Macaca fascicularis: one gene and its partner. The protein of the gene in region 2 interacts with the protein of the main gene of each other region in a biochemical or structural test. Links are inferred from orthologs where the notes say so. Each region holds a gene or a part of one and is shown on either strand. Other genes may lie near its edges. The genes, in order: PRKCQ and CARD11.

Evidence for each region.
Region 1: of the proteins of CARD11 (region 2) and PRKCQ, one has a biochemical effect on the other in vitro, tested with the Homo sapiens proteins (2 studies listed by BioGRID). The link is inferred for Macaca fascicularis from reciprocal best matches to the Homo sapiens genes CARD11 and PRKCQ.

Annotation. Positions count from the first base shown.
Region 1 is NC_088383.1:7,438,800-7,442,615, forward strand, and holds part of PRKCQ (protein kinase C theta type), read right to left. Parts: intron 1,091-3,816; coding exon 891-1,090; exon of another isoform or gene 807-890; intron 340-806; exon of another isoform or gene 49-339; intron 1-48. UniProt on the Homo sapiens protein: Calcium-independent, phospholipid- and diacylglycerol (DAG)-dependent serine/threonine-protein kinase that mediates non-redundant functions in T-cell receptor (TCR) signaling, including T-cells activation, proliferation, differentiation and survival, by mediating activation of multiple transcription factors such as NF-kappa-B, JUN, NFATC1 and NFATC2.
Region 2 is NC_088377.1:36,473,470-36,477,285, forward strand, and holds part of CARD11 (caspase recruitment domain-containing protein 11), read right to left. Parts: intron 3,366-3,816; coding exon 3,213-3,365; intron 2,567-3,212; coding exon 2,441-2,566; intron 1,792-2,440; coding exon 1,594-1,791; intron 1-1,593. UniProt on the Homo sapiens protein: Adapter protein that plays a key role in adaptive immune response by transducing the activation of NF-kappa-B downstream of T-cell receptor (TCR) and B-cell receptor (BCR) engagement.

The DNA of each region.
Region 1 (3,816 bases), on a different chromosome or scaffold from region 2:
AATGGATCTTTGTTCTATCCTCTCACATTCTGATAGCTTTTTACTTACTTTAAAAATGTACTGATGGGCCGGGCGCGGTGGCTCACGCCTGTAATCCCAGCACTTTGGGAGGCCGAGGCAGGTGGATCACAAGGTCAGGAGATCGAGACCATTCTGGCTAACACAGTGAAACCCCGTCTCTACTAAAATACGAAAAATTAGCGGGGCATGGCGGCGTGCACCTGTAGTCCCAGCTACTTGGGAGGCTGAGGCAGGAGGATGGTGTAAACCTGGGAGGCTGAGTTTGCAGTGAGCCGAGATCGTGCCACTGCACACCAGCCTGGGTGACAGAGCAAGACTCTGTTTAAAAAAAAAAAAGAAAAGAAAAAAAAGAAAAAGAAAAAGAAATGCATTGATGAAGTTTAATAAAATTAAGATTTTGATATCTCAATGTGTTCTGAGTCTATTGGATTAAACAAGTAATTTCTAAGTTAAAAAGCATTAGTTGTTGTTTGATAAATCTTGATTAAGTTTTATATACAAATATTATTCCCAAAACTGAAAAAGTGAATGAAACTGACAACTGGATTGATAGACAAAAATTCATCCCCCACTTAAGGGGAATTTAAGATGTTCCAAGCCTGCTTTAACAGTTTTAAATAAATAACACTTTATCATAGTCTAAGAGACTTTCTACAACTCTTTGATGTGGGCATCTGAAGATGTCAATGTGTTCTACAGCCCATCAAGAATAACCATTGCCATTGTCAAATCACCAATAAGGAAGTGGTAGGGAGCCTGGTGACCCGAGGCCAGCGTAATCACACCTTCAGATTGACATGGAGTTCTGAGCCAGTCGTCTGTTACCATCATGCTTATCCCTTAGGTGCATACACTTTACACAACGTTACCCATATTTCTGTCTTCCCGTTGTTCTTCCTGCACCTCTCAGCCAGCGAGTGGAGTTCCACGGTGGTTTCAGAGATGAGGTCCACGTTTTTGCCTTTCACAATGATCTGCATGACTCTTCCCTTGTTGATGTGGGCATCGAAAGTGCTGTCCCAGGGTGGGTACATGGTAGGTTTTTTCTGGATATACATCTGCCCATTCTCTAGGAACAGAAAGGTAAGTTCTCATTACTCCTTCAGCCAGGGCTGGAAAATAATTCAGTTCAACTCAACGGTAGCACCTGCTCCCTCTGTTCTCTGGGATATAGAATTCTGTTGGGAAGACAAAAGCAGCACATAAACAATCAGAGACAATATGGGACAGAATGAGACAGTCCCCCGGTCTAGATGCAAGGTGATGCATTGAACCTTATAAGTTCCAATGTAGGTAACTCAGACAACAATCTGCTAACGCCTTGGACTGGAAATTGTTACCGAAACACCAGGCGTTCTAGGTTTTGCTGCTCACCACACAGAAAGTCAATGACTGAAATGACGAGAATTGCCAAGGAAGAAGGCTTTAATTGGGTGCTGCAGCCAAGGAGACGAGAGCTCAGTGTGAAGTCGATCTCCAAGACCGGCTAAAACTAGGGATTTATATAGCAGGTAAGAAATGTAACTTTGTATGAGAAAACAGGAACTTGGGAGGGGTAAGGAACCAATCACAATGAACCAGGAGCCTGGCACTTCCATCTCTGGATGCCATGATGTGGTAAGTTTCAGTTCTTTAATATTTTTTTTGAGAGGTGTGGGGATCCTTTCCTGAGGAAGAAACTCAGAAAGTTCCAAGCTTTAAGATCAAAAGGGTCCATTTCTATAATTAGCCAAAAACAACCGTCTATGGTACTATCGGGTTGGTTTCAAAATGTTCTTTTCCTAATCAACAGTTAGTTGCTTCACTCTGGCTGTAAACACCTGAGCAACAAACTTTTTAAAAAATCTTTTATGCCTTTGAGATTCTCCTTTATTAATCTGTCGTGTTAATCCTACGGCTGATTAACCTCACTGGCCCCGGGTTAAACATAGTCAATTCAAAACTACTGTGTGTTCATCTGAAAGACATAGTGGCATAATTTAAGCGTATAATGAATGCTCCTTTAATAAATATTTAAATTTTTTTCCATTTGACATAAATACAGTAAGAGGCAATGATCTTTAAAACATAATGAGCCATTATTTCCTTCTCTAATTCTTGGGTGAAGATACATTTTACATGTACCATGCACCCTCAGCAAAAGCTGATGGGCAACTCGGAGAGGTGGTGCTGGTCTTCACTCATGGAGCCAGCGAGGCTGAAGCAGACTGCAAGTCTGCAAGTGAGGAAAGGTAAGCAGGTAGCAGCCCTGGAAATAGTAATGAATCTGTAGACGGGAAGGTCAGTTTAGGGGAAACCTCCCTAAAGCCGCACTGTGATTGGCAAAGAGTTTGCTAATTAAGAAGTTTTTCCTTGTCTTTCATGCACATTGAATTTTCTCTGGTATTTATTCTTTAATCATTTCAGAAGCAGAAACCTGCATTTGAGGGTTTGTTTCTTGTGATATAAGCACATTAAGTGGCAGACTTAGCAATTCAGAGATGTCGATTAAGCAAAAGGGGAAAAATCCGCTTACAGCCAGGAAATAAAGCCCTTCTAACTTTCGAGGGCCCCTTCCGTCCAACACACAAAGCTAAGCAGAGCAGGCATTTAGCGTTTGTTAAATTAGTATTTATTTTGGGGGTATACAAGGAGTTGAATAAGCTTGAAACTCAAATGTTAGATAAACTTGGCTAGGAACGATATAAACCATGAGATTACTAAAGGTGGAATAGAAAGGGGAAAGTTTTTGTGGGTTGGTTAAAAAAAATTGGACTGGAGATTGGGCTTTTTAGAAACCAATGGCAATATTAATGATCACAGTAACATTTTACTTCCACAGACCTGAAGCTTCCCTTTTGGATAATTCCTTTTGATGGTAACCATTCTCTGTGCCTAGAGAAAAGGGCCAAAAATCCTCCGAGAAGGGGCAAACATCCTCGAAGCAAGGCACTTTTTACATTTGCATTCACCACGTGTGTAATTACCTAAACAGAGGATCCTGACTATCTAGAGTGTTACCGTTTTCAGTGACTCACAGCCCCACCGTCCCATGGTCTGTTTGTCCTTGTTCTGTTGGCTTATTGTGGAAAACACAGTCTTACACTCCAAGAACTGAAATGTGTTTAAATTCTGTAGAAGTAAATATTGAATGATAATATTCAGAGTGATTTCTTTTCAGAACAAACCCAAAATAAAATCAAAAGCAAAAATCTCTAAACTCCCTCCAACTCCACAGGCTAATCTTTAGGAAAACCAGTTTCCTTCTTTTCTGACAAGGTCTCTCGATCCACATGGCTGATTAGACCAAGTTCAAAGGCAAGGCCAAAAACAATTAAAAAAAAAAAAAAAAAAAAGGCCCTCAGGAGGCAAATGTCAGGGAGAACTGAGAGGGTAAAGAGAACTGGATCCAGGAGACCCATTAAGTCAAAGGCGGCTTTGAAAAACTCAGACATTTTACACTTCAAAGATGTCTGTGACATTTGAAAGGTTTTAGGTTGGGAGCAAGTGGCATTCACACTTTTAACTAAACAGGAGAGAACTCTGGGCAGAAAGGAAATCAAGATGATTCAGACAGTCTCCCTGGCTTTGATGTGTTCAGAGTGGCTGGAAGGACAAAGTCAGCTGTGAAGCAAAAAGTCTTTTGGTGGGGGATGCAAAATAGTAGGTTTGGGAACCCCTAAATGTGAACTGTGAGCATCTGGCAGGAGGTTCTCAACATCTGAGTCAGTTTCTTCTTGCATCTGCAAATGTCCCTGCTCACAGGCCTTTGCAGGACAACCCTATATAAGATAACACACATCCCTGCCCCCAGTC
Region 2 (3,816 bases):
GTGCCAGGCCTGTATTCACGCTGTAACTGCAGCCGGGAATGCGGGTCCTCCCAAAGTGCTGGGATTACAGGCCTCAGCCACCGCACCCAGTCAGGGTCCCTTCTTTTGTAAATGAGGACACTGAGCATGTGCTTTCCATGCAGGACAGTTCTGTGGGGTAAATGAGGTAACGCGCAGGGGGCACGTTGCGTGGCACCTGCACGTGACTGCGCTCAGTAAACCCACAGCTATAAAAGTGATAACATCTACCCTGGAGGAGGCATTCCTTCACTTCTCAGTGCCTGGGGCACTGCTGGGAAATGCACTCTGCAATTCACATTGTCGATAAATGAGGGTTTACTCACAGGCACTAGGAACCCTAATGACCGCAGGGTGTCTTAAACCCAGTGACCGTTCAGGTGTGCGGGGGAACCCTAGTAGGAGGCCAGCAGCTGGCTGTGGTCAACTGAGAGGGCACTGAGGCTCCTAAGCGGGGAGGCTGCTCAGCCAGGAAGTGGCTGGGTCAGGCTTGACCCTGCATCTTCTTCTTTTTGTTTTTTGAGACGAAGGTTTGCTCTGTCACCAGGCTGGAGTGCAGTGGCAAAATCTCGGCTCACTGCAACCTCTGCCTTCTGGGGTCAAGCAATTCTCCTGCCTCAGCCTCCCGAGGAGCTGGGAGTACAGGCACACACCACCATATCTAGCTAATTTTTTTGTATTTTTAGTAAAGACGGGGTTTCACTATGTTGGTCAGGCTGGTCTCGAACTCCTGACCTCATGATCCACCCGCCTCAGCCTCCCAAAGTGCTGGGATTACAGGCATGAGCCATCGCGTCCAGCCCCCTGCATCTTCTTATTTATGTTTTTAATTTTAATTTTTTAAATTAAAAAAAATTTTCACTCTGTTGCCCAGACTGGTCTTGAACTCCTGTCCTAAAGCGATCCTCCCACCTCAGCCTCCCAAAATGCTGAGATTAGAGGCATGAACCACTGTGCCCAGCCCTACCCTGCATCTTCTAACTTCAAAATGAGTGGCTTCTACTCATCACTAAACAGACACAAACACAAGACTAAAAGATGTGGATTATGCTGGGTGTGGGAGGGAACTTCTGGCTTCAAAAATATGAAGGGCCGACCGGGCACAGTGGCTCATGGCTGTAAGTCTAGCACTTTGGGAGGCTGAAGCGGGAGGATCGCTTGAGGATAGGAGTTTAAGACCAGCCTGGGAAACAGTGAGACCTTGTCTGTATAAAAAAATACAAAATTAGTCAGGCATGGTGGTGTGTGCCTTTAGTCCCGTTACCCGGGAGGCTGAAGTGGGAGGATGGCTTGAGCCCAGGAGTTTGAAGCTGCAGTGAGCTGTGATGGTGCCACTGCATTCCAGCCTGGGCAACAGAGCAAGACTCCGTCTCAAAAACAAAACAAAACTAAACAAAGGACAAGGAGCCATTCATTGCACTGGGAGGTGGCAACTGGCCACAGCCCTCAGTGGGCGCCAGGGGGCACCTGCCTTCAGATGTGGGGCCCCACGGGGAGGCGGCGACTGGCCACAGCCCTCAGTGGGCGCCATGGGGCACCTGGCTTCAGACGTGAGCCCTGCCTGTCCCAGCCCACCTGGTCCAGGTTGTTGCTGTCCTTGGAGAGGCGCCGGAGCTTGCTTTCCAGGTTGACGATGCAGGCCTCCCGCCGCACCATCTCGATCCTCATCTCGTCGTTCTTCTCCTCCAGCTCACGGATCTGCTTCCTGTACTTGTCCTTTTCGATTAAGCACTGCGAGTACTGTGTCTGGGCTTCGTCTCGGGAGTGGAAGGCCTGCCGGGGAGAAGAAGCAGGACAAAGGCTGCTTTGGGGGCCGCACCCCAGTCAACTCCAGCTGGGCCCAGGGACAGGCATCATCCCCAACCCAGGGGCCAGCCACATCGTCTGTGACTCTCATCTGCAGCCTGACTCCTGGGTGTGTCAGTCACTGCCTTCTTCAATAACACGATCACAGAGCCGATGGTTCGACCCTTGCTAGTGGCAGGCTCCGTGTTGAGAGATTTGATGCAGTATCCCTGGAAGGCCACGGCCTGTCCCTATGAGGTGGTGCTACCGTAATTTTCCTCATTTTACAGATGAGGGCACTGAGGTCAGGGTGGCATACACCTTATGAATGACAGGGCTGGATCTGAACCCATCCTCTCACCCGAGAGAACAGACAACATTTAAGAACCATGCTTGGTTGTGGGAGCTGCTGGAGCTCAGCTCAGAGCCCCCTGATACCCAAATGCCTGTGACTTCCAAAAGCCTTTTGGGATAGAATTCATCGTTGGAACAGAAATGGGAAAGATGGATTCAGGAGTGATCCCTGCATTGTCAGTGACATTGCACTGGACAAAACACTCTGAAGGACCCCGTGGCCTGGGGTGTGGGCCCCGCTGTGCAGTCTTGCCGCCCTGCATGCTGCAGGTGGTGCCTGTACCTGGTCCCGCTCCCGCTCCACCTCCTCCAGCTGCAGCATGACCGTATTCATCCGGTGCTTATACATTTCACAGTCCTTCCCCAGGGTCGAGCACTTGAGCTCCAGGTCCTCCTTCTCCTCCAGGTACTGTGAACAACACAGAGAAATCAATACGTGCATCAAGGAATCAATAGGTCAGGGTTGAAAGCTGTTCTCCGCTCGTGCCTTCCCGCCGGCTGGCTGGAGCTGGCCTGTCCCTCCCTAAGCTGGCATGGTCAGGACATGGCCTGCCCTTCTGAGAACTGGCTATCTGACCACTGGGGCTCAAGGTAGGGGACCAATGAACTTGGCATTGTCATGAACCCACTACAGACCAGGTAATGTATGGGAGGATAGTGTGGTCTCAATCAGGAGGGGGACACTGGTGCTCAGCTGGTGCAATAGCTTATAAATGCCCAAGGGTGGCCGACACATCTGGGATCCTGCAATCTGCAAGGTGTGGGTGAGGCTCTGAGACTCACACATTGGCAAGTATGTTGGTTCCCCCAATCCCAAGCCCTCACCGTCTCCTCTGCCCACATTGCTCCTGCCCCCAGGCCCTCATCAGGTTGATAAACTGCAGCTCCTGCCAGGGGCTGAATACTGGGAAGTACAGGGGATTTATGCCAGGGGTCTGACCTAGTCCCCGGAAAGGAGTGTGGGGTCAGGGAGGTCCTGCTGACACACACCACTGCCCCCTGGTGTGAAGGGGGCGGGCCAAGGGCACTGCTGGGCAGGCGCTCCCCGCTCCCACCTTGTCCCGCAGCTCCTCCGCCTGGCGGGCCTCCTCCTGCAGGTTGTAGATCCTGTTGACCAGCTCCTGCCGGTCCTCCAGGGCCTCCTTGCGGTCGTGTTCCAGGATGTCCAGGATGGCCTTGTCGGAGTCTGGCAGGCTGCGCTTTCCAGCCTGGGTGGGAGGGAGGAGGTTTAACAGGGTCAGGGTCGGGGTGGGGAGCCAGGTGGTCCTGGAAGGTGGGGGACAGAAGAGCCAGCAACAGACACGGACAGAGCAGAAGGTTTTGTGTCTGGAAGGTAGAGGCAAGAAGAGATGTATGTCCCTTGAGGTCTCTAAGAAGCTTATCATTTAAGAAGTTTATTGCCTGGAAAGAAGCAGAAAACTGGCTTCTGCTTGGGAGTATCCTGGGCCTTTTGTTCTCCCTGGCACTTATTAGAGCGCAGAGAAGCAACTGGTGCACCTAGAACACTTCACAGGTGACAGCAAAGGGAAGCTGGATCGGCTTTTTAGATGCTGTCCCTGAAATACTGAGGAATCTGTTCTGGTGAAGCTGGGTTCACCCTCGGCTCCGAAAGAGAGCCTTAAATACCAGGCAGCCGCTCCTGGTGGGGACTGTTCTGGA